5 linked regions of the Kluyveromyces lactis genome follow. The protein of the gene in region 1 interacts with the protein of each later gene in a pairwise test. Links are inferred from orthologs where the notes say so. Each region holds a gene or a part of one and is shown in the gene's direction. Other genes may lie near its edges.

What was found.
Region 2: the proteins of SKP1 (region 1) and TFB3 interact in binary tests that used the Schizosaccharomyces pombe proteins (3 or more experiments, as listed by UniProt). The link is inferred for Kluyveromyces lactis from reciprocal best matches to the Schizosaccharomyces pombe genes skp1 and pmh1.
Region 3: the proteins of SKP1 (region 1) and HRT1 interact in binary tests that used the Schizosaccharomyces pombe proteins (3 or more experiments, as listed by UniProt). The link is inferred for Kluyveromyces lactis from reciprocal best matches to the Schizosaccharomyces pombe genes skp1 and rbx1.
Region 4: the proteins of SKP1 (region 1) and MET30 interact in a two-hybrid assay, tested with the Schizosaccharomyces pombe proteins (2 studies listed by BioGRID). The link is inferred for Kluyveromyces lactis from reciprocal best matches to the Schizosaccharomyces pombe genes skp1 and pof1.
Region 5: the proteins of SKP1 (region 1) and CDC4 interact in binary tests that used the Schizosaccharomyces pombe proteins (3 or more experiments, as listed by UniProt). The link is inferred for Kluyveromyces lactis from reciprocal best matches to the Schizosaccharomyces pombe genes skp1 and pop2.

The regions. Positions count from the first base shown.
Region 1 is NC_006041.1:1,505,336-1,511,121, reverse strand, and holds SKP1 (SCF ubiquitin ligase subunit SKP1), read left to right. Parts: upstream 1-2,688; coding exon 2,689-3,237; downstream 3,238-5,786. Other genes in the region: KLLA0_E16985g (uncharacterized protein), read left to right, coding at 1-487; PEX3 (Pex3p), read left to right, coding at 932-2,383; YSP2 (Ysp2p), read left to right, coding at 3,602-5,786. UniProt on the Schizosaccharomyces pombe protein: Required for cig2 degradation in the G2 and M phases of the cell cycle. Together with pof6, essential for septum processing and cell separation.
Region 2 is NC_006039.1:1,294,721-1,300,841, forward strand, and holds TFB3 (TFIIH/NER complex subunit TFB3), read left to right. Parts: upstream 1-2,621; coding exon 2,622-3,578; downstream 3,579-6,121. Other genes in the region: KLLA0_C14850g (uncharacterized protein), read left to right, coding at 433-2,316; CGI121 (Cgi121p), read right to left, coding at 3,770-4,243; LFT1 (Lft1p), read left to right, coding at 4,492-5,556; KLLA0_C14916g (uncharacterized protein), read right to left, coding at 5,600-5,860. UniProt on the Schizosaccharomyces pombe protein: Acts as a component of the general transcription and DNA repair factor IIH (TFIIH or factor B), which is essential for both basal and activated transcription, and is involved in nucleotide excision repair (NER) of damaged DNA.
Region 3 is NC_006041.1:649,022-654,468, forward strand, and holds HRT1 (SCF ubiquitin ligase complex subunit HRT1), read left to right. Parts: upstream 1-2,452; coding exon 2,453-2,785; downstream 2,786-5,447. Other genes in the region: mediator complex subunit MED7, read right to left, coding at 1,235-1,876; prephenate dehydratase PHA2, read right to left, coding at 3,134-4,069; ATP11 (Atp11p), read right to left, coding at 4,456-5,412. UniProt on the Schizosaccharomyces pombe protein: Component of E3 ubiquitin ligase SCF complexes, which mediate the ubiquitination and subsequent proteasomal degradation of target proteins.
Region 4 is NC_006042.1:2,543,868-2,550,834, forward strand, and holds MET30 (ubiquitin-binding SDF ubiquitin ligase complex subunit MET30), read left to right. Parts: upstream 1-2,665; coding exon 2,666-4,537; downstream 4,538-6,967. Other genes in the region: HIS1 (ATP phosphoribosyltransferase), read left to right, coding at 651-1,544; KLLA0_F27533g (CBM21 domain-containing protein), read left to right, coding at 5,590-6,967. UniProt on the Schizosaccharomyces pombe protein: Probably recognizes and binds to some phosphorylated proteins and promotes their ubiquitination and degradation. Required for the inactivation of zip1 via ubiquitination.
Region 5 is NC_006040.1:645,244-652,316, reverse strand, and holds CDC4 (SCF ubiquitin ligase complex subunit CDC4), read left to right. Parts: upstream 1-2,389; coding exon 2,390-4,333; downstream 4,334-7,073. Other genes in the region: KLLA0_D07579g (uncharacterized protein), read right to left, coding at 106-399; KLLA0_D07568g (FAD-dependent oxidoreductase), read right to left, coding at 579-1,691; KLLA0_D07524g (uncharacterized protein), read left to right, coding at 4,892-5,299; cohesin subunit SMC1, read left to right, coding at 5,835-7,073. UniProt on the Schizosaccharomyces pombe protein: Involved in maintenance of ploidy through proteasome dependent degradation of CDK inhibitor rum1 and S-phase initiator cdc18.

The DNA.
Region 1 (5,786 bases):
ACAGCTACGACAGGTTCGTGAGAAATATCGTGAGCAAGCACACTCGCTCTCGCCAAGCGATGCAGAATCATGGTCAACCTTGGCATCAAATTTGCAGAAAGTCGTCACAGAAATGGATCAGCTTTTGCAGCGGAACTCTAAACAGATGAACGTATCCTTCCTATTGAACCACGAGTCATCATCGCTTCAGGCTGGAATACAGCCACCGCAACCGCTTCTACAGAACCTATACCAAAAGAACGGGAACGACGAACAGCAGAACCATCTCAAAGTCAAACTCGATAGAACTGCGTTCTATTCGGAAAATTCCCCCTTCCAACATCAAATGGATCGGTCTGGTTCATTCAGACTCTGTCCACCTTTAGCACATACAAGTGCAGAAGATTACTTCCGCAACGATACGCAAACCCCAATTATGATCTCAGATGGCCAGATCCTGGAGAACTTGGCCAATCTTAAACGTCTCACTGAGATGCAACGCCAATAGGTGGATGTAATCTTCGTTTTCGTTTGAGATTCGACACATCACATATATGATCCATCTTTTATTTGAGTCATGCGAACGTTTTTGACCAATTATACACATATACACATATAATATGTATAGTAAAAGATAAAGCTGTAATGATACACTATAAAATATCTGTTGGCACCAGTTGCAGAACCATAGAGGTTCAATACCCAACGCAATTCTATCTCTTTGGTATATGTTTTCTCTTAAATCTGTCGAATTTGTCGCTCTTTGAGGGGGAAACAAAATTCGAAAAACATTAAAATAACTAACTAGCAAGTAAACATCAACATCAATAAAGTATCAAGACAAACAACGACACTAGGAAAGCTCTACACGCAATCTGACAACGGCTGTAGTGGAAAATCAATAGAAGAATTACATTGCTCTAAGTTATAAGTTATTTTTTTACCCCTCATCATGACTGGGAATCGATCTCTGGTTCAGAGACACAGAAAGAAGTTCGTTGTTTCTAGTGTTTTGTTTGCTACGCTATTTGCTACATGCGCTATTACGGTCTATTTCAGTAAAAGATGGTTGTACAAGCAGCATTTGAAAATGACGGAGCAACGATTTGTCAAGGAACAGATCAAACGGAGGTTTGTACAAACTCAGCAGGACTCGTTGTACACTCTTTATGAATTGATGCCGGTAATGACGTTAGTGTTGGCTAAGGATTTCGATCTTGATTCTATTGTAGAGGCTCTAAAGGGGAAAAAGTTACAGAAGAAGCTTTCCAAAGGTGAAATAGCTGGGAATGAGTTGGAAAATGAGGGCTTAAGTTCAGGAATGAGTGCGATGACGCCTGCACCCAGTGTGTCAGCGAAATCTCCGCAATCTGCAGATACCACTAGCGTTTCTGAAACGTCTACGAAATCCAAGGCCGAGCTTTGGGACGATTTGAAACTCAAAGCTATCACCAAGATCATTATCTTGTCCTATACCACATCATTATTGATGCTTTTAACCCGATTGCAATTGAATATATTGGCAAGAAGAGAGTATTTGGATACTGCCATCAATTCTGCCATGGAAAAGGAAAGGGAAAAGAAGGCTAATCAATACTCAGTCTTATCTTGGTTCTCTAGTTGGATCACTGAAAAGAGCAACAATTTACCCAGTGAAAAAGCTGACCCAAGAAACAGCGATGGTACTATTGACACGGACACAAGGAGCATTGCATCCACTGCGAACCCTGAAAAATCGAGATACGTTAACGAACAAGCTTTCTTATCCTTATCGTGGTGGTTATTAAACCGTGGATACCTACAATACAAGAGTATCATTGAACAATTGGTGAAAGAAGAGTTCCAAAATTCGAACCCAAGAGATATCATGACAATGGATGAGTTCAGTGGCAAGATAAGCAAGATATTCGTCACCACAAACAAGCAATTCTTTCAACAGCCACAATCGAATGAAATGTTCATTTCATGTCTACTTCCTGAACCTAACTTAGAGAGATTTGTTCTTCAACAAACTTTAGAACAAGATGCTTTGAAAGTACTATACGAGGATAATCTATTACTAAAACAACTTGTACAAGAGACCAACAAATGCCTACAATCACCTGGAACATGGATTGTCCTGGAGTCTTTAATCGATGAAACATTCCACACAATCATGGAACAAATCGAGGATAATGTCAACAGCAAATCGAAACCTAAATCGAATGATGACGACACCAAAGTAGTCGATATATCCAAAAATTCATATCAAATCGCATTATTCTCTATCGCCACGAAAGACTGCACAAACGAAATGTTGAAAGCGGGACTCGTATCAATGAACAACAAGTTCCTACAGAAACTACACTCCATCTCGGCACTTGACGATCTCAGTGCATGCGTATATAGTAACTTCGGTCTATGAAAACCTTACTTGGCCCTCCATTCAAGTACTGAAATCGCTCCATACCGTGTATGTAGATAGTTCTATAGTTAACGTTACTCTTTCACTGGCACTACGGGGTTTCTCTTCCTGTTTCTTTAATGGCCACGTGATCATAATTTTCTTTTCCTTAAGGTCAAATAACGAAAAGAATCGAATTCCCAACAGGTTGTCAATCAACATGTTATACATCTCAGTTAATGTTTGCAAGTGGATAGGAGCTTGGTGTTTGTAGTTAGTTAGCACCATAGAGTTACCAAGTGGGTTCTATTTAGTACCAGAAAATCATGTCCAAGGAAAACCAGAACGTTGTTTTAGTGAGTGTTGAGGGAGAGAGATTTGTCGTTGACAGGAAGATCGCTGAACGCTCACTTTTACTAAAGAACTACTTGCAAGATCTTAACAGTGGCGATTTGCATGATGATAACGATGCTGACGATGACGAAGATGATGAAGAGGATGGTGACGATGAAATAGTGATGCCCGTGCCCAATGTGAGGTCGTCAGTATTACAGAAAGTGATCGAATGGGCCGTTCATCACAAGGATTCCAATTTCCCCGATGAAGATGACGACGATTCGAGGAAAGCTGCGCCTGTGGATCCATGGGACCGTGAGTTCTTGAAAGTGGACCAAGAAATGTTATATGAGATTATTCTAGCAGCTAACTATCTAAATATCAAGCCATTGTTGGATGCTGGATGTAAAGTTGTTGCGGAGATGATTAGGGGCAGAACACCTGAAGAAATCAGAAGGACCTTCAATATCGTTAACGATTTCACTCCAGAGGAAGAAGCTGCCATAAGACGTGAAAACGAATGGGCAGAAGACCGTTAAACTTACAAGTTTTCTTGTTGTTTTCTCTTTCTGTATCTACATCCTCTTCAGTTTAAAATAGCAATTTCCCTCATTTCCCGTATGTAATCAATAATTTAAGTACTTGCTTGTTAAGCGGATCTTAATTGAAGTAGTGAATTTGAGTCATGGGCAAACGCAGGGATCGCTTTCATATCGCATTTATAGCTTCAAGGTCTGTCTCTGCACCGATAATTTTTCATTTTTGTACCTATATATAATATTTAAAGAACGCGCTACCTTAAATTGAAACTTTTTGCTTCTGGTTTTATCTATTCAAGGCAGAACTGCATCGATAGATGCACCATAGGACCCTTGTTACTGGTATACTTGGTGTAGGATTGTGATGACGTTGACCATTGGTGAGGAGACCAAATCCAGACTAAGATCGCTAAGCGGGAATACTAGTTCGTTGCTAAATTTAAACAAACGCAAGAAGAAGAACAAGGAAAAGAAAAAGGATAAGGACAAGAGTCAACCAAAGTCTCAGGGCAATACACGTGTGCTACGGTCTACGAGTCTGAAACCCAATGTCAATGATGATGCATCTGCATTATCGTCGAATTCGAGCTATGATAAGGTGTATTTGATGGATGGGAGTGACCATAAAGCAGGATCTGCGAATCATGCCTCTGATAAGAACAATGTTTCAAGCACGGGTTCAGGTATCCAAAGCATCAAGATTCGTAGTAGCAGACAGTCTGGCGAAAAGTCAAGATCGAGGTCGCTGAGGATTTCTACATCATTGTCGAGGCTTCCGAGAAAGAATTCATTAAATGCAGGAAATGATACGTCTTCCACTGAGGGTTTCAATCAAACTGCAATGACAAGGGAAGAGAACACTGATCCATTGGGTTCGAGGTTACGGGTAAGCGATAGCAAGGCTTCTCTATCTGACGTACCATCAACGACTCTGTTCACCAAATTCAAGTCTTCGAAAAGTGATAGTGCGACTCCCGTAAAGAGTAAGCCAGACGAATCTGATTCCGGCCTCTTTTCATCGCTAATATCGGCTGCACATAACGCTGCTAACCATTTGATACCCAAAAGTTCACTGAAGAGTAGTAGCAGCCTTTACGATGAACCGTCCAATGGAGATAGAACTCAGTTGCTGACTTCTGGTATTGGTGGTACAGATACAAGTAATGATCCATACAACCATACAGGCTCATTTCTGAATCATTTAGACTTCCTTCTTGCTCCCAGCTCGAATAATGATTATTTACTGAAGAAGGCGACGACACTAGACACCCTTAATACCAGCGACTCCTCTACATCTTCCATTTCTCAACAAATGACTAATCCGTCTTCTACCGTGCCGTTATACGATGATAGCGATCAAGATGGTAATAACAGTGATGATATTGGTTCTGTGGGAACTTTCATGGATAAAGTCAAATTTACATCAGTAAAGCAAGATAATGCCCCCCCAATTTCGACCTTTGGGAGGGGAAATCTAACTTTAGATGCCATTGAAAAGGACAAAGATGATCTCAAGTCCACCGGCTTTCATACACCAAGTGTGCTGATTACCACAGACCAACCAGATCGACCGGTATCGTCTCCGTCCCCACTCTCAATGCCTAATGATGATGCAAATACGGACAGCAATACAAATTCTGCCAGTCCTTCATTCGAAAAAACTAGGCCGAGGAACGGTAGGTCAAGACGCCCCGAAGTGTTGAGAGATTTAACTATGAGATCATTGTCGCCTGCTGCAGCTACGAAATTATTTACAGCACCCCTAAGAAATTCATTTTCGGGCAGAAACATGACAAGAGCGAGTAGCATATCCAAGACCAGTGATATTGTTCAACCACCTGGAGGACCAACACGCCTGTCAACTTCGGACATTCCAATAAAGAGAAAAACTGAAGAACCAGAACTTCAAGGCATTGAATATGCAAGTGCTAAGCGTAATACAGATTTCCATACAATCTTTAAAGACACCGTAGTATCTCCAATTGAAAGATTAATAGCGGATTACAGTTGTGCTTTATCAAAAGATATTCTCATTCAAGGTAGGTTATACATATCTGATAGACACATTTGCTTTTACTCGAATATTTTGGGATGGATGAAGACTGTTGTAGTTCCATTCAAAGAGATAGTTCAGATCGAACAAAAGAACACTGCCGTATTATTTCCTAATGCCATATCGATACAAACCTTACATGACAAGTTCCTGTTTGCATCTTTCATATCAAGGGACAGTACATTTGATCAAATTATGGATATATGGAATCAAACAATAATCAATAAAAACTTCAAGCCTAAACGAGGTACTATGGGATCTGCCGATCTGATGAATGATGAGAATCTGACTCTTGATAGTGAAGCTTCAAGCATGGATTACGATGATGAGGATGTTCAGACTAACGACCGGACTTCCACATCTATCACTGATTCCTATGGTAACCGTGATGAAAGTGATTCGTACGATGACGACGATACCGATGACATAAATCCAGATGATATGACAAGTAGCTCTGAGGAAAGCACAAATAGCGTGTCTGACGAGGCAAGACCCT
Region 2 (6,121 bases), on another chromosome or scaffold:
ATCAGTTCACTTTCCAACGTTAATCGAGGTTCCTTTATTTTTGTATCTAAGGTGGTCATATGAATCTATTATTAGTTGAAATATTTCAAAGTCAGTTCAAATGACTGTCACGTGAGAGAATGATCTATTTTAGTTTCGCAGCACGATGGATGCCACCGTGAACCTCCACGCATACACTGAAAGCAACTCGGAAGTTAATAAGCCACTATCGATCCAATAGATTCATCAACAGGTTTGTTCTCGAGAGCTTTTTCGCGTTTGTGTTTGTTCGAGTTTTCAAATTTGACACAAAATATTCAATAAAGACGTCAGTTTTATCAATATCGTAATCACTAAGGATGTCTGTCCAAAAACAAAACGGCTTGAACCTGAAACTAAACTTATGAATAGCCAATAGTTCAGAGTAATTTCAACCAAGTCATCAACTATACAATGAGTAAACCCAGGCTTGGAAATCCGAATAAGTTGCCACATGCTCTTGGGCGGCAGTTTCTAGATGAAAATTCGAGCACAACGACAGATAGCGAAAAAGAGAGTTTTGACTTCACAGCATTGATGAAGAGGTTGAAAGAAACCAGGAAGACTACAATGCCAAGAAGAAATACCAAGGAAAATTTGTTGGCCACTACTCAACATGATTTGAATGAGTATCCTTATCCAATTAACAAAAACAATGAGAATCAGAATTTGGAAATGAATAATAGCGATTTTGATAATGATGATAGCAAGGAAAACGATACAGATTCCGAGATAGAACTGTCATGGAGGCCATTAGATGAGATTGAATTGAAAAGAAGAGCCATTAATAAAACTGATAAACTTTTTAAACCGATGGGTGATTTGAATGGCGAATTTACATCTGAAAAGATAAGTGAAAAATGTGCTAAACTTCTTGGGTATCCTCTTCCTGATTACATCAAACGTCCACAAAGAGTTAGCTTAGTTGAAAAAGGGAATGTCATTGAATTCAAGGACTATCAAAATCAACAGAAGTCCCTTTTTCACAATAAAGATTTCAAATTCGAGTATCCTGTGAAGCGTGGACATGAAGAGGGTGAGGACGATAAAGAGTACTTTCAAGTAGAAGAAGTACTTCGAACCATCAAGGAAGACATAAAGCAAACGTATTCTAAAGTTGATAACATTAACAATTTCATTCAAAGTAGGATTGATACCGGCCATAAAGAAGCCAAAGCAGAAGAGAAAGAGAAAGAGAACAACAAGATAAGAGAAGAAATACCAGGAATGTTCCCGCAAAAAATTGTATACCTCAATCACTTTATTGATCCTCCTGAAAAACAGCCAACTTATTTCAATGCGCTTATGAACATGAAATGGATAGTTTCATGGCCAGTGAAATGGAAAGTTGCTTATTTTGTCACCGTACATATTTTGTCGTTCTCAGACGAACAATACACTTTCTCAGGTAAATCTTACGACCTACTGACTAATACCAAATACCTAACTTTATCTGAAGTTGATAGGCTTTTTGGTTGCTATATGACTATTTACGTGATATCAAGAAACATATATGATATTACTTTCTCCATCAGGGAAATCTATGATTATGCATACCAATACTTAATGGAATATGATGAATTGCATCCAATTTTGAGAAAATACTGGAAAGAGCTATTCATATATGGCCTAATGAATGCGATTCTTGTTTCAATAGGAGCTTCTGCCATACATTTATGTTTGGCTCCTGATGGAAATTCTTCTCCGATTTACACCTGCCTCTGGCACATAGGATTTGGTTCTTCCCAGAGAGTTGGATTTGCAGTAATGCTCATAATATTTTATATTGATTTGACACAAGAGGGTTTGAATAGGTTTAAAAAGCAAGCGGATGATCTGAAGGAACAGGAAGATTTGGCACAAAGAAGGGTGAACAAGAATCAGAACGCTAACATTTTCAAAGATAAAAGTACGGTAATGAATTTTTGCAAGAGCAGAGACGTAGATGAAGACATTCTTCTGGAGTCAACCCCGCCTTTGAACCCACCATCAATTTTACATAGCCCCTTGCTCAAAAAGTCCACAAAAGTTGAACAGAACGAATCAATAAAACTGGTTTCTGTATCAAGTGTCGAACACTTTGAAGAAAGCTACGTTCCTCTTCTGAGAGAAAGATTAGATGAAGAAACCAATAAAAGCAGTAAAACAATTCCATCAAAAAATTTTCTACTTAGTACCATGGTAAAGATAATCGTATTTACATCAACCTTCCTTCAGCAACCTGTTAAGACAATGAAGAAGTTAATGCCATATAAAATATACAATTCTGTCAGAAAGGCAATAAACGCCCCAACTTAGCTAATAAAAAATCATATATACACAATATAACCACATTTTGCTCACCAACGCAGTAGGTCTCCTCAGTAAATGCTCCCTTTACTGTCTTCAGTATCATTTGCCTGCCGCATAAGTAATCCTTTTCTCATCATTTTGTGATTTTAGCTGTCTCTGTCATACAATATCATTCAATATCGGTGGTATAAAACAAGAAACCTTTATTTGAAAAGTTGATGATAAATAATGAACAAATTGTAAGGACAATGAATAAGAAATAGATATCAAACTAAATCATCTGGGACTACGAATCAACGTGAATCGTCATCATGGATGAAGATGAGAAGAAGGACATGTGTCCTATCTGTAAAACAGACAGGTATCTATCGCCTGATATGAAGTTTTTGATCAATCCAGAATGCTATCATAAAATTTGTGAATCATGCGTGGATCGTATATTCAGTTTGGGTCCTGCTCAGTGTCCATACGAAGGGTGCGATAAAATTTTGAGAAGAAATAAGTTCAAGACCCAAATCTTTGATGATGTAGGTGTCGAGAAGGAAGTTGATATAAGAAAACGTGTTTTCAATGTGTTTAACAAGACGCTGGAAGATTTCGATAACAACCAAGACGATTATGATAAATACCTAGAAGAAGTGGAAGATATTATATACAACTTAGACCATGGTATTGATATGGAGAAGACCGAGGAGAGGTTACGAACCTACGAAGAATTAAACAAACAGCTAATCATGGCAAATTTAGAGCGGAGCAAACAAGATGTCGCTAACTTCGAACAGAGACAGAAGTTTGAAAAGGAAATGAAGTTAAAGAAAAGACTACTAGAGAAACAGATAGAAGAAGAAGAGAGGGCTAATAGGGAGTGGGCAAAGAGAGAAATTGTCAACCAGCTCACAGTGAATGAAGATGCTGAGGAAGTTATTGAAAATGTGAAAAAGACTGTCAAGCTAAAGAAATCCTCTGCCAGAAGGAAGCTCGAAGAATTAAATAAAGTGTTAAGAAACAATCCTTACATGACAATGACAAATGGTAGAATGAAGAAGAAAGATACTGTACCGTTCACACCATTCAATGGGGACAGGGATTTACACAAAAGATACGAATTGGTTGAAAACGAGTATAATGATTCTTTCATCAGAGACTTACAAAAGAAGAAGGAATATATAGCCTCAGGATTCAGGGCGGACTTCATTTATGATAGAATGTTAACAGAGGCATTCATGGGTCTTGGTTGTATCATTAGCGAAGAATTACAATCCTCTTAGTTGTATCGCGTTGACGGCAAGTGTTGATAACTCTTCGTTTGATACATCTCCTACTTTATTCAATTTGTAATTCTACCGAAAAAAAAAACACATAGTACAATGGTAAAGAGCTCGGTAGCTCTTTATCCTCATCATAATCATATAGCATTTAGGTTAGTAATCTATTCATTATTAAGAGTCTTCTCATTTGTTCATAACTTATCACAAGGAATACATACCGTTTTGATAATTTCTTTATCGGCAGATGTAGAAAACTCATCATCCGAGACTGGAACTAGGTCCCCATCAACGGAAGCATTGCCATCATAGGGTTCTTCATTACTGTCTTCAATGATTTTGATCACAATTATATCAGTTGTTCCTTCCTTTATACCAAATCTGTTCAATGCATCGCCAATGTTCGAACTAGGAGATAGTGATAAAATGCATTCAGAATGGATAGTTCTTGTCCGCATTCTATTGTACTCTGTTTCCAAAATAGCCTTATAGATGGCACTCGACAATTGTTCAACGGATATCACAGTTTTGGAGTCGATGTATGCAAAAGGTAATTCAGCCAATTTGGATCGTAGCTCAGAAGAATTGGTAACATTGTTATACTTCTGAACATGAATAGTATACTCCTGAAACTGAGGAATCTTGTACTTCAAAACTATTCCAGCCATTTGTCTTGTGATGAGCTCTTGGAACTTCTTGGATGCAAGTCGCCTACTATCGGTCCTTCTTTTAACTTCACTTTCTGATTATCTGTACTGTTACTGACTTACTATTTAAATCTTTCAAATCAATCCGAGTAGTTTCTAGCGTAGAAAGATTGATAGAAAACCATGAGTACACAAACTTTACAAAAGGTTCAGAACAAGAAAACACAATAAGTGATCACTTTGCTATATCAACGGTATATGTACTGTCAATGGAGCTTCCAGACGAGGAAAACGTTTGGGATAGTGTTTTTGAGGAAAGGCAGTTGAGCGAAGTAGTACGGGATCAAGGACCAAATGATCTCGAACGACCAGCAGCGCATAAAGAACCAATTGCTACCGAACAACCACTGGGGAATAAGCTTGAGAATCAGAAAGATGATGATGATGACGAATATATTAGAAAAGTTCGTACAGCTGTAGAACAATTCGAAAAGGCAGGCTTCTTCGAGGATTTAGACGATACTAAAAAGGGTTCAAAAACAAAAGCCATGGTATATAAGCTAGCAGACGAGGTGATAGCCCGACATAAAGACAAACTCTTACGCATAAGAGACCCAAATTATGATAAGTGGTCTGAACCATTAAAAACCCCCATGATAGATAAATATCATGAAATCAAAGAAGAATGGAGACGTGAGGAAACGAACCACGGTTCCAGTAGTTTAAACAACAGTTCAATGACTACACAGAATGTTACATTTGCATGGAGTTCAAATGCTCATCGACCGGAGCTGACCGCACCAAAGAAGCCTTTGGAACCGCATTCCAATAAGAAATCAACAAATGAAATACTACGGAGTAAAGCAATGAAAAGCGCTCATGAATTAAGAAGTAAGCAAATTCTGCTCAATAAACTGCGGGATAAAAATGATAGAAACAATCTGCCTTCACAGGATGGTGATGATGTCAAGCCGAAATTTAAAATGGATCCCTTGGAACCATTTGTCGCCAAAGCTTTACCGAGAGAGAAGAAGAAGCGACCAAAGGAGAAAAGGAAGAGCAAATTTTGGTTTTGGGGATCCCTTACCCATCATACTGACGAAGGAAACCACAGAGACAAAGCTAGGTCGCCAGAGCTTGAAGATTATAAAATTGGTGTTGTATCACCGAATTCGCGGTCCCCCACGTTATCGATTCCTTTCTCTGATCCCGATAACACTCAGACTATTACCAATAACGCAGTATCGGACAACATTAACCATCACCTGTCGCTAATAGACCTCGACGATGACGAGGAACACTTAAAGTGTTCAACGCCACCGTTAATACTGTGATACGTACTTTTTTTAGGCCTAATATATTTATTTCTCATCCTATTTAAATATCATCTACATTAGCACTGTAACTATATACCTTTTTTTGAGCCGGCGTTATTATAACTTGTTCTCTGCGTACCGGGGTAGCCACGATTGCCTCTGGTATGTGGTTGGTGCTCATATGACCCACTTGATTGCAATTTTCTGCTTGCTCCTCTCGTAGTGCCTTGTCTTCCTTAAGAACATCTGTATACGTTGGAGGATCCTCTGGCAAGGAACTTTTCTTCTCATCAGGATATTGCTTCTGATCGTCTTGAGACATCTTTCCGTAAGTTTGAGTTTAACTGTTTACGACTCCGAATGTTGGTCCAAGGGAAATCTCAACTCTTCGAACAGCGTCGGTTCTGATTGCCATTAAAATATATTGTCGTTTCTATACATTATAAATGGTTCAAACAGGGTCCTTGATGTGCAGATTTCCCTTTAAAACCTTACAAATGGCGTAATGCTATATCATCATATATCAGATGTAAAGATGAAAAGAAGGAAAATATGATATCTAAGGTATTCCAGGCTTTGTTAG
Region 3 (5,447 bases), about 860 kb from region 1:
CGAAAACTGGCATAAGTTGATCCGAAACACTCTCAAAAGAAAAGATTCAACAGATATTCTTGAAATCGAAAAGAAAGAAGAAAAAAAAAAGAAGCGAAGATAGCGTAGATTGCAGAGCGAAATGCTAGAGACAGAAAGGGTAGAGAAAACGATAGTATACCCGAATTGTGACGACACGTTGTCAGGTTATGTTTGTCCCTTTGGTTACAAGTAGGAAAGATGCCCCCAGGTAACAGTTCAGTGTGTCAACCCTTGGTTTGTCCCTCACTATATATATTATATAGGTGTAAACTATTCACGCATTGCTATACTAGCCCAAGTCAGGCACCACGCGGTGCGCTCTCCTCCATTACAGGAATTATAGCTTACTTTGGCAATTCAATTCCTGTTAGGCTTTAAAAAAGAGAGCATGTTGCCGAAAAGAAGGCTGACATATTGACAATAAAATGGATCAGTCCTGGGATCTGTCACGTTTATTACGGTAAACTAACCCAGCTGCCCGTTACAGCTCCGATTTAATCGGTGTAACGGTTTCCTCTCGAGGAAACCGGTGTGAGAGAGGTACTGACGACAGTTTCGCGCGCTATTCTGTTGTGTGTCTTTCGGATAATCTGCCTGGCGGTTTTTTCTATTTGCCCTCTGCCCGCCGTTCCCCTCTTCTGTCTCTCTTTGGTCTCTTTTTCATGCCTGGTCATTTGTTCTCCTCTTTGCCCGTTTAGGCCCTACACTCTCTGCACGAGTTATTCCGATCGCTAATTCTTTTTTTGGGTCTTTTTTATAATGCGTAGTGTGGTGTAAGGGAATTGTAGGATTTCTTCCTGTGGAATTAGTTTCTCCGATCCGCCATACCTGAAATCGAAGAGAAATCGGCAATTCTACCCCATTCTGGGAAGACAAAAGAAAAAGGACTTCGCGAGTCATGTAGAGCACGTGACTTGTATTTTAAACTTACTAGGTCTTCGTTACATAATCAGCGTCAGAGAGTTGGTATTAGGACTTTTAGAAATAATGAGCATTAGCTTCGTCCGACATCTTGCTATTAAATTTGTCTTCCCCCTTTGCTTGCATTGGGAGAAAGTTTGCTGATTTTCTTATTCTGTATACCTTATTCGGCGGCTAAATTTCGAATTAAATCTCTCAAGCAGCCGAACTTATGAAAGTTTAATTAAACATCTTGATACCAAAGTCTTCGTTTTTAGAGATCGCCTTAACAACTGGTATGCTGGGATATATATCACAGTTGAGCCAGCTTGGATTCCACTTCATCACAGACTTTATTGATGTGTTCCATTTCCTTGCGTTTATGTTCCAATTGTTCTTCAAATAACATGATTAGCGATTCACGACTTTGGTGCGGTCTATATTCGTTAAGAAGATGGTGAATATTGATGGCTATCACCCTTATCTCGTCAAGTTTTTTCTCATATCTACTTGAATCCACTCCCAATATTCCTATAAGCTCTAGGAAATTTAGTAATAGTGATTTCATTAGTTTTTTCGACTCTTGGATCTTGTTCTCGTAATTTGTCCCACTTTGCGAATCTTGAGGACTAGGTTCAACTTCTGTTGTGGTCCCGTTTTCCAATTCCGTGACAGATTCCCGTTTCCTATATAATTGTTCAATTCCCATCTGTGATAACTCCGGTAGTTCATCCTTAATTTTCCATACATTACCAAATGCTCTGTATGAACCATCCCTGGGTAGTTCTGGCTTCACAAAATATTTCAACTGCTCCCTCTGTTTTGTTGTACATTTCGCTAGTTTTTCTTCATCTTTGCCACATTCTCTAAATAGTTTTGAGTTCTCTTCGGTGAAAAATTGAATGAACGGTGGTGGTGGAGGATACAATGATGATACTTCGTTCTTGTCACTCATGGTCCTTTATATTTTAGCTTCTGACTGGCAGTATTGTCTCTCACTTTCACAATCACTTTCAAAAAAATCTTTTATTGAGAGGGATTTCAATACTTTAAAGGACGGTCGAGGTTCCAGTTTATCTTGAATCTGGACAGATTATGGCCACGGAGGTCTAACACAGGTCTGATATCGCCAACACGCTTTCCTGTGTTCACTGATTTATCACTTGTTTCTGTTTGTGCTGGTTACTATAAGTTGGATTTCCATTTCATGTACAATTTCACATCCGGGTAACAAATGTTTGTATTCACGTGATATGAATATCACTCTTGTCTCTCTTTCAACATGAATTCTAATGTTTCTGAACGTTTGGGCAGTTACGAAAGTCCATAGATCCCATTATAGTCCACAGGGTATATCTTTTGTCATTCATAAGACTACTCTATTCGATCATTAATAGTTTAAAAAAAGGTTTTCACACCCGCGTTTCCAAGGATTGAACGACAGTTAGACCTGGGACTTAGAACGTCTGTTTGTAATCTGTTTTAAAGAAGGAAGGATTTATATTTACCAATAGTAGCTGATCGTTAGGAGATGGCCACGGATTTGGGACCAATAGAGGCACAGAGCGGGACAGAGGGTGCTACTGAGTCAAAGCCCAATTTTGAGATAACGAAATGGACAGCGGTAGCTTTTTGGTCATGGGATATTGACGTTGATAATTGTGCCATTTGCAGAAATCATATTATGGAACCATGTGTAAATTGTCAGCAGGAAGCAACTTTCAACTCGGAGCATGAATGTGTAGCCGCCTGGGGTGAGTGCAACCACGCATTCCACCTACATTGTATTACCCAATGGATCAAGAGCAGAAATGTTTGTCCGTTGGATAATAAACCTTGGAAATTGGCTCGGTGTGGCAAGTGAAGATAGAGTGTTAAGCCTACAAAGATGCATTATCGAAATTTAATATCGCTATTGGACTGTTCGAACCGCAAAAAATGTTACTCAATTTAGATTTCCAATGATTTAATACCAAGCGGATAGTGTGGATTTAATATCTACCATTGGGAAGAAGCTTAGATAATCTGGCTTCTGTGTATATATAGTTACGTAACGAGCTTCTAATGGAATTATCGACAGGTTCGATCGGTCCCAAAACAATAGACAGGACAGCGTTGTTCCATGAATACAACTAGGATGCGTACATTCCTCTTCGATTGCTTCGTTTTTAAGATCAGTATTTGCATTTTGTTTCTAAACATAATGCATATATCATGGGATTTGGTAATACAGTGCGTTTCGGTAGAATTTACCCCAGTGAATCCATTTTGCGCAGTTTTCGTCAAACCTTTTCGCCAGAAGTTCGTAATCAGTACCGTAATTGCCATAAAACTCAATAAAGAAGCAATATTGCCATTTTCTTTCTGATTGCACTTGATTATGGAATGGTCTCGAACTGATTGAGCACATATTCAACTTATACTCCCTCAAGACATTTAATACATCTATTAAGGAACCTGGATCATCTTGATTTATCACGAAGGTGACAAAGTTTACTTTCATTTCATCGCCTTTAGGTGGGAGAGCTTGGCTGCCAATTTCGCTAGATTCGTCACGCCTTTTCAAGATCAAGAACCTTGTCGTATTTCCATTGACATCATTGATACCGCCTTCCACAATCGTAGCTTTATTTAGTGATGCACTCGCACGGCTTCCAATTGCTAGAGTTATTTTTCTATCAGTGGCATATTCAGCTATGCATCTTTCCACAGCCCCCGCAGTCGAACTGCAGTCGATCTTGGCGGTCTTACCGTATTTTGTTTCAAGATCACTGAGATAGTCTTTTACTTGGCCCCAAACTTGTGGATGTGAATATATAACATCAACCTTTCTTAATTGTTCTTCTGAGAGCGGTACTGGTGAAATCAAGCAATGGGCAATGTCGACGTATTGTTCACCAACAACCTCAACACTTGGACTTAAATCTGCTTGCATAAAATCTCTGAAAAGATCGTACGTGAAAACAACTTGACCGTTGGTGGAGTTTTCGAGAGGAACTACCCCGTAGTCCATATCTATGTCTGAAATGAGCTTTTCGAAACATGCAGGGATAGATGTCACCGGTATTAGCTCCTCGTTTGGAAATTGTTGGAGTGCTGCTTGATGTGAATATGTTCCCACAGGGCCCAAGAACAATACTTTCGCCATTATAAATGTAGTAGAAGTAAAACAAGGAGATATTCCAACTTCCAGCAAACAGTGTACAATGTGCAACTACTGTCGGGGCTTTGTACTGTTTGAGCAGAACGAATTCAATCGATTCTACTCATAGGTTGGGTCATCGATGCATCCATATGCTCGTAGCACTTCTGGACCACACTTAGTCATAGTGGTGAAATTCATTTTGATGAAGTACACGTGACTAAGAAGAAAGCCATTCCAACGCATGCTGCCCAACCTCGAACCACAGCCTGCTGCTACTCAAAACCGCATGCTGTTAGCATAGATCGAGTATGATGGAATGTTTTCTTTATACAAGCGACATGTATATATATATGTATATAAATATATATAAATGTATTAGGAATCTTCCACTACTCCATAACTTGAGAAAGAGCAACTAATAGATCAACATTGAAGTTTGGAGATCCGTTGGTAAAATCCTTCAAAAGTTGGACCCTCTTTTGGGCAAACCCGGAGTCTTGTCCCATAGCACCATAGAATCTTTGAACGTTCAAAAGCAATAGTTGAGATTCTGGTAGGGAAACATTAGAATCAGATTCAACTTGGCCGTTCATCAATACAATGTTCTTTTCCTTGGCCAAATCCAAGTGGAACTGTAGAGTAGTATGAGGTCTTGCAAATTCTTTGTGCAATTTATACTCTGCTAGAGTAGTCATAATACAGTGGACGGTTTTAGGTCCTACAAATTGCCACTGAATGTAATGCATTTCCATGGCCGGTTCTTGTTTCTCTGCAGATTCAGCAGCAGTTTCTTCAACTGCACGCTCTCTTGGCAAAGGGATAACGAAGAATGGGTTTTCTTTGGCTAAGGCACTGATCTTTTCCCAGATATCGATTGGAACAACAGCGTTCAATACATTGTCCTTATTGGCCCATCTGGCTCTCCAAAGAAATTCGCATTCTTGTTTAGAGAGGTTTTTCACTTTTTCCACATCCAAAAAGCTGTCCAAAGTCTTAAACGGCTGTTTTGGCATAGATGGATCAATCGGACCACGGGACTTAGCAATGTTAGATGACATTTTGGTTCTTTGTTCGTAGTCTTCCAATTCTTTCAGTGGATCAATTCTGTTTAACTCGAGTTTCTTCTTTTCAATTTCTTCTTTCAAAGAATTCTTAAGTTCCTCAATGCTATTAAAACCTTGTTCGCGAGCCTTGTCCAAAAGCTTGTCCTTGTACTGTTGTTCTAATGAATCAGTAGAGTAACTAGAGTTTGATTGGATTGATGACGCACCAATAATACGTTTGAATTGCGTAGCAGATAGTTGCGAGGCCGATCTTTTAACAACACGGGTCCAGCTTTTTATCATGTGTCCGAAAAATTACCTGGATAGATTCACAAGTT
Region 4 (6,967 bases), on another chromosome or scaffold:
TTGTTCGCATATATATTTTTCGCTCAAATCAATGTCACATACTGAAAGCAAAGCACAAACATGATGCTGGTAGTCACGCGTATGCTGATTTAAGTGCGAATTTTTAGATGAGTCAAATAGAAGAGATCAATGGTTCTGATGATATAAACAGAGACAGAGATGGACGATATTTGACGAAAAACTGGTTGCGTTATGTACAGCTCGTGACAGTAGCTACTGGTTTTATGATCTTGCCTCACTTTGTTCACGTGATGTACAGGATCGTTCATCTGGCGCTTCAAAGCATCGCTATATATAGTTTATATAAATTCCTACAGAGGTAACACAAAGCTTAGACGATGCATACTTCGCAGCCCATGTGGCGGAATTGCCGTTCTTCCTAATTCCTATCTCTGATTATGACCTGTCCTTTCAAATCATTCGAACAATTTTATTTAGTTTGGAATTTGAATTTTTTTTTTTCAAGCTTTCACGCTGGAAAAATTCCAAAAAAAGTTTTGACTCACTGACGATATTTAAACTCATGCAACATCCTACCATTCAATGGATACATTAACATGTGTAAGTAGCTGCGTTGTACATTGGTACCATACTGTCCATCTCTACTGAATAAAAAACGGTAAATCACATAAGAAGTGCTGCTAACCATCATGGATTTAGTGAATCATTTGAACGACAAGCTACTCTTTGCCATTCCAAAGAAAGGTAGATTATATGAGAAGAGTGTTTCTATCTTAAAGGGCTCTGATATCAAGTTCCACCGGTCAGCAAGATTGGATATTGCAATTTCCACAAATATGCCTGTTGCATTGATTTTCTTACCAGCTGCCGACATTCCAATGTTTGTTGGAGAAGGTAGATGTGACCTGGGTATTACGGGAGTGGATCAAGTCAGAGAAAGTGAAGTTGATGTTAATTTACCTATTGATTTACAGTTTGGGACTTGTAAGCTTCAGGTCCAGGTCCCTGTTGCCGGAGAGTATACTTCACCAGAACAATTAATTGGTAAGACAATCGTTTCCAGTTTTGTGAATTTGACTAAAAAATACTTCGCACAATTGGAAGGTGTGCCTGAATCCGAAATGGTCACTAGGGTCAAATACGTTGGTGGATCCGTGGAAGCATCTTGTGCTTTAGGTGTTGCTGACGCTATCGTAGATTTAGTCGAATCTGGAGAAACCATGCGCGCTGCTGGGTTGACCGCTATTGCAACTGTATTGGATACAAGTGCACATCTAATCGAATCCAAAAATCCAAAGGGAGATGTTGAACTTCTCAGAACTATAAAATCAAGAATAGAAGGTGTCATGACTGCTCAAAAGTACGTCAGTTGTAGTTATAACGCTCCTGAGAACAAATTACCTGAACTTTTAAAAATTACTCCAGGAAGGAGAGCACCAACCATCTCTCAAATCAACGACAGTGGATGGGTAGCGGTTTCATCCATGATCGAAAGGAAAAACAAAGGTGATATTATGGATGACTTGAAAAAAAACGGTGCAGAAGATATCATGGTATTCGAAATTTCTAACTGTCGTGTCTAAAATGATTAGCACTTTTCCTCACCATAATTATATATATAAAATCTTATGCATGGGCACCTTATTGTATCCTTGTGTATAATGTAAGTTAATATAGATAAATTGATACAGCAAAAATTGTGACAATAGCAATATATTGCATGTTGTAGACAATATTTGAAGTCAGCATAGTAGGTATTTGACTCCTGCCTTTCAGCCCTGCATGATCGAACCAGTGTCCGTTCTTACTGATTGTCTTCGATTCTGTCTCTGTCGTTGTGGCAATTTTGATCACGTGAATGAACGAGAAAAATCCAGATAGCTTACCTCACCAGAGACACCGCTGGAAAGAACCAGAGATGAACACAGAAAAGCGCATAATGACCGAATGCACAGTAGCAGGTTACACTATACATATATAATGACTGATTTTCAAGGGAAAATGTGCCATGTTATATTCTTGGCTTTTAGTCAGATCAAAACATGGAATATCCTTGTAATAAGCCAGATAACCTGTAAAGTGTGGCTTACCTACCCTAGCAGTACAAACATATCTTTTTTTCCCATAAAGATAGTAAGAACGGATTTTAGCTAGTACTGAAATTTAGCGCAGAGAAAAAAAGTAAAAATATCGAAACTTAAACAAAACTCTTGACTGACAAAGGACTTCTTCAAAAGGAAAAACACTGCCAAAGTAAGACTTCTTAATCCTTAAAGGGGCGTCTCACTTCCCGATCTACCAATAGTTTGTTTGATTTATATAAAGCATCATATTTGTTGTATTAAGCGGTTTGGAAATTTTCAGAACAAACGAAAGATCAGCAGCGGAGAGAGCTCAGATAGGGAAGAACAACAAGTTTCGGTAAAGAAAGGTACTAGTGCTCATCATTGGTGGTGTTCTTATAGAATTTTCCTGTGAATCAAGGAAAGGAATTATATCCTTGTGGATAAGAGACATAAACGAAGGGTTTTGCAGTACTGCATCACTTTGATCACTGGTTCTGGTATATTTACAAAAGTTTGAGGAACAGAATAAACATTTTGGAAAGAGAACGCTAGGGAAGTTGTTTTGAGTCAATATACCCCATCATTTTATCTCATCAATATATTCAAATATACCATACGAGTTACGATCGTATTTCAAAATGGAGTTTAACCTTCAACAGACATGCAGACCGGATTTAAAGCGTAAGTTCGAAGATGTAGATTCGAATGGAGTGTCAGATCAACGACAGGATACTGATGGGAAGGGGGAAATTCTACGAAACAAAGCTTCCAAGGTCAATCAAAACAATGAGGAAATACAGCTTCCGAGTGAAATGCCTCAGTTCAATTTCTTTAAATTCTGCTACCGTCATAATCCAGATATTCAACACACTTGTAAGGATTCGATGGTTTTCCAAGATCAGGTACGGTCGGAGAAGTGGATGGAGAAAATGAAAGCTTTGGACAAGGAATCAGACCGAGCAATTATCAAACAAACGCTAGACAATTTCCAGCATAGCAATGATAAGATACGAAGATTAATGCTGGAAGGAATATTACAGCTTTGTTGTTTTCCCCAGCTATCTTATATTGCTGATGAGGTAAAACAATTGATTAAGATCGATTTCATTTCAACCTTACCAGAGGAACTTTCTTTGAAAATTTTAGGTTACCTTGACTGTCAGTCTCTTTGCATCGCCTCGCTAACATGTAAGAGGTGGAAAACACTAGCTGATGACGATAGGGTATGGTACCATATGTGCGAACAGCATATTGATAGAAAATGTCCAAACTGTGGATGGGGTCTACCCTTACTCCATATGAAGAGGGCAAGATACTTACCTGTAAATGAAGCACATGTCCATAATCAAAACGGCAATCAATTCCAAAATGTTGCAAACGGCAACGGGAATGAAATTGGAGGCGGAAAGTCACTAATCAATCCTGGCAACTCTCCCAACCAAACTGTTGCCGCTAGGGCTAGGAATAGCAGGTACTATACGAGACCCTGGAAAGTAATATATAGGGAACGGTTCCAAGTGGAATCCAATTGGAGAAATGGAAGATGTAGAATTCAGCTCTTCAAAGGCCATATGGATGGGGTATTGTCATTAAAGTTCAACCACAGACTGCTTTTCACTGGGTCATACGATTCAACGGTGGCTATATGGGACACAAAATCTGGTAATTTGATTAGAAGACTCACCGGGCACACGGATGGTGTGAAGGGTATTTATTTTGATGATCAGAAAATGATCACAGCTTCTTTAGACAAGACAATCAGAGTATGGAACTACATTACAGGGTCCTGTATATCAACTTATAGAGGCCACCAGGATTCTGTGCTATCGGTGGATTCATACAAAAAAATCATTGTGAGTGCTTCTGCTGATAAAACAGTTAAAGTGTGGCATGTTGAATCTAGGACTTGTTATACGTTGCGGGGCCATACGGAATGGGTCAACTGTGTTAAACTACATCCAAAAAGTTTCACTTGTTACAGTTCCAGTGACGACAAAACATTAAGAATGTGGGATATCCGTACTAATTCGTGTATTAAAGTTTTCAGAGGACATGTTGGTCAAGTGCAAAAAGTTATTCCATTAACGATCAAAGACACAGAAAATTTAGTGGTGGATGAAAAAATTGAAAAAGTACCCAACCCAGAGTTAGAAGAAGATTTTGCAGATGACTGTACAGGAATATTCGATCCGAATTTGAAATACCCTACACATTTGCTTTCATGTTCATTGGATAACACCATCAAACTCTGGGAAGTCAGTTCAGGTAGATGCATTAGAACTCAATTTGGACATGTTGAAGGTGTTTGGGATATCGCTGCTGATAACTTCAGAATTGTCAGTGGCTCTCACGATAAGAGCATCAAAGTTTGGGATCTTCAAAATGGTAAATGCATACAAACTTTTACAGGACACAAGGCTCCTATTGTATGTGTAGGAATTGGTGACAGTTCATTTGTTAGCGGAGACGAGCTGGGCGAAGTGAAAATGTGGCATTTTGATGATATTTGAGAGCCCTGTCGTAGAACCATTGGCATTGTTGCACCGATTACACTATAGCTAATGGTACAGAAGTGAAGGAACAATTGTGTTCAACATCTTCAAAACTAGCATAACTAAATACAAAAGTTTATATTGTAACTTATTTCTAGTCTCAACTGCTGCCTAAATACAGAGGCCACATAATGCCATTCTTTTTCGAACGAATACATTACTCAACGATCAGTTTCTGAAAGTTTTATCGTGCTCGGAACAATGTTTAAAATCAATGTACCTACCTGGCTTCATTAACCCCGAAACCATCAACGTTAAAAAGTCAAATGTCGAGCATGCGAAGTTGTGGAATTCGTCATTTAATTCGACCGTCGTATATGCGCGGAATCTAATTATAAGATCGCACCATAATGATTAAGATGATGAGCCTCGTTGAAACGTAACAGCGCACCGTTTTCTTCTTCGAAAGCCAAACTAACACATCTTCCATTTTTCATTGTCAACATGACCGTCTTTTGGTTTCCAGATTCTCACCAAACAGCTTAGAAAATATCGTAGTAGAGAAATGTGACTGGGAATCCTTGAAAAGAAAAGGAAAGGAAATAATAAGAAAAAAAGGGTTGTCACCATGAGCAGACGTTTTCATGCAAGGTATTAATGTTCCTCTGTTTTTAAGACTTCAATCATACATAAGTCGGGTGAGCCAGTGGTCGAACAGGTTTGTATTGGGTACTTGGTGTTTTATGACCTTCGAGTTAAGAATAAAAATAGTCTTGGTGTTTTCTACTCTGTGAGGTTTTGTTTTAAATTTTGTTGTTTTAACTTTTGATCGAAGATAAACCAGATATATAACGAGCTACCCCAGTTTGCTCGCATTTTCATTGCTTTATCATCCTTAAAGCATTTAGCATTTCATATTGGGCAATAAGCGCTAGTGTAAACAATCACTTTTCGATTACTAGCGTATCTTCCTGATAAACGTATCAAGACACTAGTTAAATAATTGGAGATAAGTCAGAATAGATTGAGGCTATCTAAATAGAAGAAGAAATCTACTATGGTCTAGCGAGATGTACCAACGAGATGCTGTACAGAATTTACAAAGCGGCAAGTTTAGCTCTTTGAATTTTTTGAGGAAACCACAAAGAATTTCCTGCCAGGTCGAAACAACAGCCATGAACGACGCTTTGAAACGGAACACAGATCTGAATAAAAGTAAAATTATTGTAGATAAAAGTTTACAGGATTCTCAACATGATGAACACGATCCTGTGGGCAATGAATTGGCAGGGCGGCTCAACGAGAAATTAAATTTCAATAAAGATGCGGACCCATCAAAGAAGGAAGATTGGGATGTTGAAACAGACCCATTGAAGAAAGAAGCATGGGAAAGCGAAACAGACCCAAGCTTAAGCATGCAAGACTACTTCCCTGTATCGAAACCAGATGTGCCTGAAGTTGAAATCAATAACAATTCCAACGATGACAACGATGACGATGATGATGAACCAGAAGACAGGTATTTGGATAGTAGAAAACTTAGCGCTATATTCAATCCACCCTCAATATTACTTACACGAAGCAAATCCCTACCAACTTCTCCACTAGAAGGTAGGGTAAGCCAGGAACAAAGACCTCCTGTTTTCAAGAGGTCTAAATCGGTTCATTTTGCTCAAAGTGAGAAGTTTGAAGTTAAATACTTTAGGGAGGACGAAAGTCCGTTATTCTTAAGAAACGAATCAGGAGAGTACGGTACGAAATCTGGAAAGTTAAGGAAAAGCAGACGCCATAGAAGCCGAGAGGCTGTTGCCAAAGTTAATGGTGATGATGACGACGATGATATGTTGAATATGAAGGGATCAAAGAGGTCCTTGGAATTGGTAAATGGAAACTTGATCCTTCAAGCACAAACTCCAAAGTTATTACGATTAGATGTATTTGGTGTAAGAAAAAATCAGTTCCAAACGTTTGCCAATGGTATATATAATTCGATGAACACTCCAAATTCTGGATGGTCAAATTCTCTTCACTCTAATAATGCACCTTTTTGGAAGTATAGTCATGGTATTAATGATAATGATGATAATGATAATAACAACAACAACAATAAAAATGAAGATGACGCTAATACTACTGGCATCCCAAACTTTGATTTCAGCTCTCCTTTTAATACAAATGATAGCTTTAAAAAAGAGGCAAATTTGGGAACCTTTATTTGTCATTTACAAGACCTTAGATTGGACACACAAGGGCACATGTTGATTGGTAATGTCATTGTACGAAACATATCCTACGAAAAGAGAGTTATTGTACGATACACCTTAGATTCCTGGAAATCTCAACAGGATGTTGAAAGTGTATGGATAACAAACCATTGTAACCTGAAAAGTGGTACAGGAGCTATCGATATCGATGTCTTCCAATTTGCCATTGATCTCGGTAAAATCA
Region 5 (7,073 bases), on another chromosome or scaffold:
ACTATGTAGCAGCCTCTAAACATACACTATTCTGGTGTATAAGCAGCCAATTGCTCCCAGAAAACCAACGCCGGTCTAAAATAGTTGCTAATGGAGGTACATTTTTCAATATAACTGAACTTCCCAATCTTCGAAAGGTGGATCAACCTCGAAGGTCGATTCACAGTAAGACCTAATGTAGTCTGTTGCTCGTTTCTCGGCATGTTTGACGTTGATAACTTTCCCTTGTTCATCTATTTCCAACACATTCATGAATATGGCGTAAGCTTGCTCAATTGCACTGGGTTCCTCACCATATAACGAAATGTAATCTACACCCTTCAACATATAATGAGTTCCACTTACCATAAAATACGTAAACGTCCTGACGGCACCACTCACTTCGTTACTGAGATGCATACTTTTTTTACTTAGTAACAACCTCCGTTGTACAATCCCTTCATTCGAATGAAGTGTAATCGTTATTGATACTTTCAAATAAAGTTAACTTAAAATGCTGCGTGGTCTTTATTTACAGAATTATTTACTTTAATGTGAAATGTCCAGTAGGTAGTCTTTAATTTCGATGCAAGCGCACATCATAATTTTGAAGTGGAGAAGACGTTGTTGTACAATTTTTGAATGTGGTAGGCAACACCCATCGAGGTCTCGAATCCCATCCCACCAAGACCATAAGCATGAATAACTGGCATTTGTTCTCCATCAGGACTCTTATTGAACTCGAGTTCTACACGCGAACCTCCTACTCTTAGCGGTCTGAAACCAACGTTGACGTTCTTGATTTCGAAGTTTTCAAGCAATTCAGGGAAAAGTTTCTTACCTCTTCCAATGAGCTTCTCAGTATCTGTATCACGAGGCATTACACTATAATCACCAGGTTGTTTGGTACCACCAAGAATATAATATGCCTTCTTGCCATTCTTTCCAGGTCTCTTAATGACGAAGGTCCAGTCACCACTCTTTGCTTGATGTGTGATAGTCGCATGTGCATATGGTATGGTGTCATGCTTGTCACCAACATCAAGTAATAAAGTTTGACCTCTGACAAGGAAACATTTAGGATCTAAACCTCCTTCCCATTGTAACCCACAACCTGAAGCATTGACCACAATATTAACATCAGGGTAAAGCTCGCAAATATCTTTTAATTTCTCAAGCTTGATTCTCTTTACTCTAATGTTAACGTTCTGTTGCTCACTCTTTTTCATTACCTGGTCGTAAAGGAACAGTAAATACAATGGAGCATTCAAACACCACGTTTCATAGCTACAACCGAAAGTGACACCTGCAGGCAAGTTGGAATCTTGCTGTTGGAATTTTTCCAAGCTGGATCCATTATACCCTGCTCCTAAGCGTTGGTATTCGATGCTCGGATTTTCTAACCAATCGATCCCGTTCATGAATTCAACAGTGGCCTCACTCAACCACTGCTTAGATTTACGTTTGAAATAGTTATAAGTCACTCTGGTATATTCACTCTCACGTTTATCCGAAGCATAATCAGAATCTCTGTGTGGGAATGGTCTAAAATGAGCACCTGCCCATGGTGATGTGAACGTATGATTGATTGGCTGATCTTGCGGGAATTGTTCGGATACAATTGTTATAGTCCTGATATCGGGTCTTGTTTCCAGTAGTCTCAGCGCACTTGACAAACCAATAACACCGGCACCAACTATACAAACTGACATGCTCCAATATTCTGCTTTCTCAATTAACTAAACCTCGGCCGTGGCTGCCTATTTCCTGTTGTTCAAATTTATGAAACTTCTATTCATATCATATGTAAATCTAGTCAGATGTTTCATTCGATCGTCTTTTATGCAAATTGGAAATCACATTCAAACAAGAAAAGACGACTCAAACCCCCACATCTTAACCCGTAATAAGCAGCCAACTACATAGTGTTTGCGCCGGGAATTAACCAAAAAAATCGGTAGATTAACTAGGAACAGCTTCAAGGCATTTTTGTCCTGTCAGTATCGTATATCACCATTACAACCGAGATCGCTGCTCTGGTAATAATTACATTCTAACACGTGACCTGTGTTGCATGCAAGGTAAATACCTATGTAGGTCTAAAAGATAGAATGGTTTAGCTTAATATATTAGCCTCAAAGCGTTTAATAGCTAACTAATAGATGGCGAGAGTATCTCGCATAGATATAGGGACTGATAACATTGATTCAACAAATCTATGTTTATTTGCACTGTTATCGGCACTCTCAACCAAAATCAAAATTAAACTCTTGTACGATTTCTTTGTACAAAACGAAGTCACATCAACATATTGACTGACAGACGGAATATTGTTTAGCAGAAAGATAAGGAGTAACGGCAGGTGTGGGGTAGTCGTAAGTAACTTCCATTAGTTAAGGGTATAAGTAACATGGATCTCAATAGGCATGCGACCCCAGGGGTACCACAGTATCCTCTACAGAATGTTCCCGTTCCATACCGGTACCAACTTCATCCTCAGCCAGCGTCTCAGAGTAAACGAAGTATACATTATCCCCTTCAACAGCTTGACGACGATTCTGACAGCGACGGTCAGTATCACAAAAAGTTAAAGCCAAATCAGCAGGCTGTTTCCAGTCCCAACTTGATCGAGGATCAAGATGGGCCGTTACCAATATCGCCGATTGCTTCCCCATGTCACACACCTGAAGTGGAGGAACCAAGTATTGACGAAGTCATAGGGACTACAGTAGCTAGACTCAGCAGTACGACATCTCATCCAAATGCTTTAACAAGTCTTATATTTGGGCTTGTTTCCAACATGGATAGAACTCAGCTTTCAGATTTGGTCAGTATAATAACCGATAACTTGAAACGAGATTTGTTCCAATCACTACCTAATGAAATCACTGTGAAGATCCTATTAAATTTATCTTCGGAAGACATCTTCGCATGTTTGTTGGTTAACAGAAATTGGAATAGGTTAATCGAGGAGGCGCCTGTTGTTTGGAAATGGCTAATGCTTAACGAAGGTTTTGTCACCGAAGATCAGTTCCCGTCGTACTGTAACAGTTTGCCCAGTAAATATAAGCATTTGATCAACCCTGACGACAGATTTAGATTAGATTTCCTGGAGAACAACTGGTGTCTCCAGAACTGGTACGATCCAAACTATAAACCAGGGAGGACTTGTCTTGATGGTCATAGTACCAATGTTGTAACATGTCTACAATTTGAAAACAATTATATTATTACCGGAGCAGACGATAAGAAGATCAACGTGTATGACGCTGAGAATGATCTGTTCCTATTAGAATTAAACGGACATGAGGGCGGTGTGTGGGCACTGAAATTTGTGGACGGTAAGATTTTAGTTAGTGGTTCCACAGATAGAAGTGTGAGAATCTGGAACATCGAAACTGGTAAATGTACCCATGTTTTCAAAGGACACACATCGACGGTTAGATGTTTAGAAGTGGTTGAATATGGTGACAGCAAATACATTGTAACGGGGTCTAGAGACAATACCTTGCATGTGTGGAAACTTCCCCCCATGAAAGAGCTAGACAAGGGATCGCAGGAACCTATTTTCTACAGGACACCAGAGGAAAACCCATATTTTGTTGGGGTATTAAGAGGCCACATGTCTTCGGTAAGGACAGTGTCTGGTCATGGTAGAATTGTCATAAGTGGTTCATATGACCACAATTTGATGGTATGGGATATCATTAGTATGAAATTACTATATATTCTAACCGGTCACACCGACCGTGTGTACTCGACCATTTATGACTACAAGAGGAACAGGTGCATATCAGCAAGTATGGATACCACAGTGATGATCTGGGATCTCGAAAACATTGAAAATAATGGGACAACTACTACAATCAATGACGGTGCATCGATCAAAGTGGTTGGAAGCATGAAATGCCTTTATGGACATACAGCTTTAGTTGGTCTACTTTGCCTATCCAATAAATTTTTGGTTAGCGCTGCTGCAGACGGTTCGATACGCGGCTGGGATCCAAATGATTATTCAAGAAAGTTTTCGTTCCATCATACAAACCTGGCTGCTATCACTTCATTCTCCATGAACGATAACATTTTGGTTAGTGGATCGGAACGACAATTCAATGTATATAATTTAAGGACCGGTAAGCTGATACACAGGAAGCTACTCACAGATTCGGAACAAGTGTGGGGTATCAAATTAAATAACAGAAAATTAGTCGCTGCGATCGAGTCAGTGGGACACAGTTACGTAGAAATCTTGGATTTTGCTGCTCGGAATGGTGACAAGACTATCAGAACCCGGACTAGAACAAGAGTCGACCATCAAATATATCGAACGTCACTTTGGTCTTCCACTCTTTAACATTAACTATCAATTTAACTTGCATTACCACATCTGGTATCTCGCCGTATGGAAATATTCTACCATCAAATAAACTCTGTAATACCAATCCTCTGTATCTTTGTTCTCTTCTCTTCTCTTCAATGCCAGCAGACATAAAAAAGTTGTATGATTAATTTATCTACGGCATCACCTATCCCTAAGACATATATAGGAGTTTCAATACTATTTCTACGTGTTACAAACTTTTCAGCCACCCCAGTACTGGTGGATACAGTCGACTACTATACCAGACATATACAGTTCTCAACATTTACCTATCTATGTCTTCTTATCAAGATAGGGTCATCCCTAGGTGTGGAAAATTATGCCAAGGAATTAATCGGGTGTGTTTTGCGATGAGGAAAAAAGTAAGTTGCACATTGAAAAAAATGTCAAATTTACACAATATAAGTACCTCTTTCGATTTTGTCCACCTATTCTTGCAACATTCCAGTGCCTACTCAAGCATAGCGTCTTGGATTGGACTGAATCTTTACCCACTTAAGCACTCCCAAAATACCCCTCCAACACACTGAAATGTCATTGCAGCAAGAAGGATCATCATCGGCGTCATCATCCTCATCGAGAATTAGCCAGAGGAACAAACAAGTTGGGTCTCAGTCTGAAGAAAATTTAACCGTGGAAGCCTTAAGAACACAAGAACTATCAGTAGGTCTGATTGTAAGTGCTTTTGTACTTGTGTTGAGCTGCGGTGTCATTTTCCTACTAGGAGTCAACATCGTGATCCAGTATCGTACCATAAACTGGGGTTATGTACCAAAAGCCATTTTGAAAATGACTTACATATTGTTAAGCGTGGTCTCCATCTTCTATATTAACAAATTCAACCTGTACTTCTTCAGATTGATGAACAACAGAGACACGTCCAATGCCTACGCTAGCATCCCACAACTGGAGCCTGTTCAGATGAAAACAGGCGTGTAAAGAACCAAATACTGACTTTTCCATCCATCTCAGACATCCTCATATAAATATACATATAAGTATATCATCATATGCAGTTAATTAAAGCAAAACCCCAGAAAAAAAAACCGATATAATACGAATTGAATTTCAAAAACCACAGAACGTGTGAACTGTATATCAGGGTGTCAGCTTCATACCGATCTTGTCTTCTGTACATCCTTGGTGCAACTAGCACCTCCGTCCTCTTTATGGATGGACGGATTATAACGGAAACTTCCCAATTAAGTTACATAATGAAACACCAAGTTACCCGGATATGTTCGAACGCGTCAATGCAATATTTAGAAAATGAAAATAAGAAAGGCGTTTATATCTATTTACATTAAGATTTTTCGTGTTAGTTGAAGGATGGGTAGCTTATTCGGTCAGCTTACCATCTACATCAGCTGCAACAAGCCGCTTATAATTGAAGTTGCAGTACAAGTTATCCTAATAAACTTGTGATCATTTTTTGTTTTATTTCGCTGATTTGTAGAGATATTCGTGTTCCAAGATGGGTAGACTTATCGGGTTAGAGCTGCATAATTTCAAGTCGTATAAGGATACGGTGCAAGTTGGTTTTGGTGAGTCTTACTTCACCAGCATCATTGGGCCCAATGGTTCTGGTAAATCGAATCTGATGGATGCCATTTCCTTTGTGTTAGGTGTGAGAAGTAATCAGTTAAGGTCATCGGCGCTTGTAGATTTGATATACAGGGGCAGAATTGAAAATGGCGATCCAGATAACGGCAATGCTAAGAGAATGCACCGATCCGACGCTGATTCGGAAGCTGGTCCAGAGAATGCCACATATTCGGAGGAAGAACCAAGAAGTGCATATGTCAGTTGCGTGTATCAAAAAGATGATCTTGATGAACCAACAAAATTCACAAGAACCATCAATACATCTGGTGATAGCGTTTACAAAATCAACGATAGAGCTGTGAGCTATAAAAAATATAACGAGGAATTAGAATCCGAAAACATCTTGGTCAAGGCGAAAAACTTTTTGGTTTTCCAAGGTGATGTCGAAAGAATCGCTTCTCAGGGACCAGAATCATTGACGCTATTATTGGAGCAGGTTTCTGGATCTATAAACTATAAGAATGATTATGAGAAATTGAAAGAAGAGCATAAGCTGGCTTTAGCTGAATTCACAGACGCTCATAATTCAAGGAAAAAAGTGCAAAACGATTTGAAAAGTTTTAAAGAAGGTGTCCAACGGGATGAGCAATATAGAACGAGTTTAGAAATTAGAGATCAGTTGAAACATAACTTTATTTTATGGGAACTATTCCATATCCTTAAAAGAAGGAAGAAACTGGTAGATTCTCTAACAGTTTCAAAAACTGAAACGACTGCGTTGAAGAACAAGCTTTCAGACGAAGAAAGAATACTGACCAAAATCAAATCCACAACGGCTAAACATGAACTGCAATTGAGTAAGTTGAAAGATACGCTCGTACAGTTAGAAAATGAAAAAACATCGTTACAGTCATCTTTACTACCTGTTGGAAGCGAGAGGTTAGCTACCATCAAGAGAATACATAACTTGGAAAAAAGAATATCCTCATTCAAGAAAGATATGGAAAGGCAACAAGCTTATGTCAAACAATTCGAAAATCAACTGAAGGTAGTTTCTAAAACAAAAAAGTCGTTTGAGAAAGAGTTAGAAAATATTCATGCCAATCTCAATAAATTCAATTTATCTGAAGAAGATTTAAAACAATATGAGCTATTGAAAGAGAAGTAT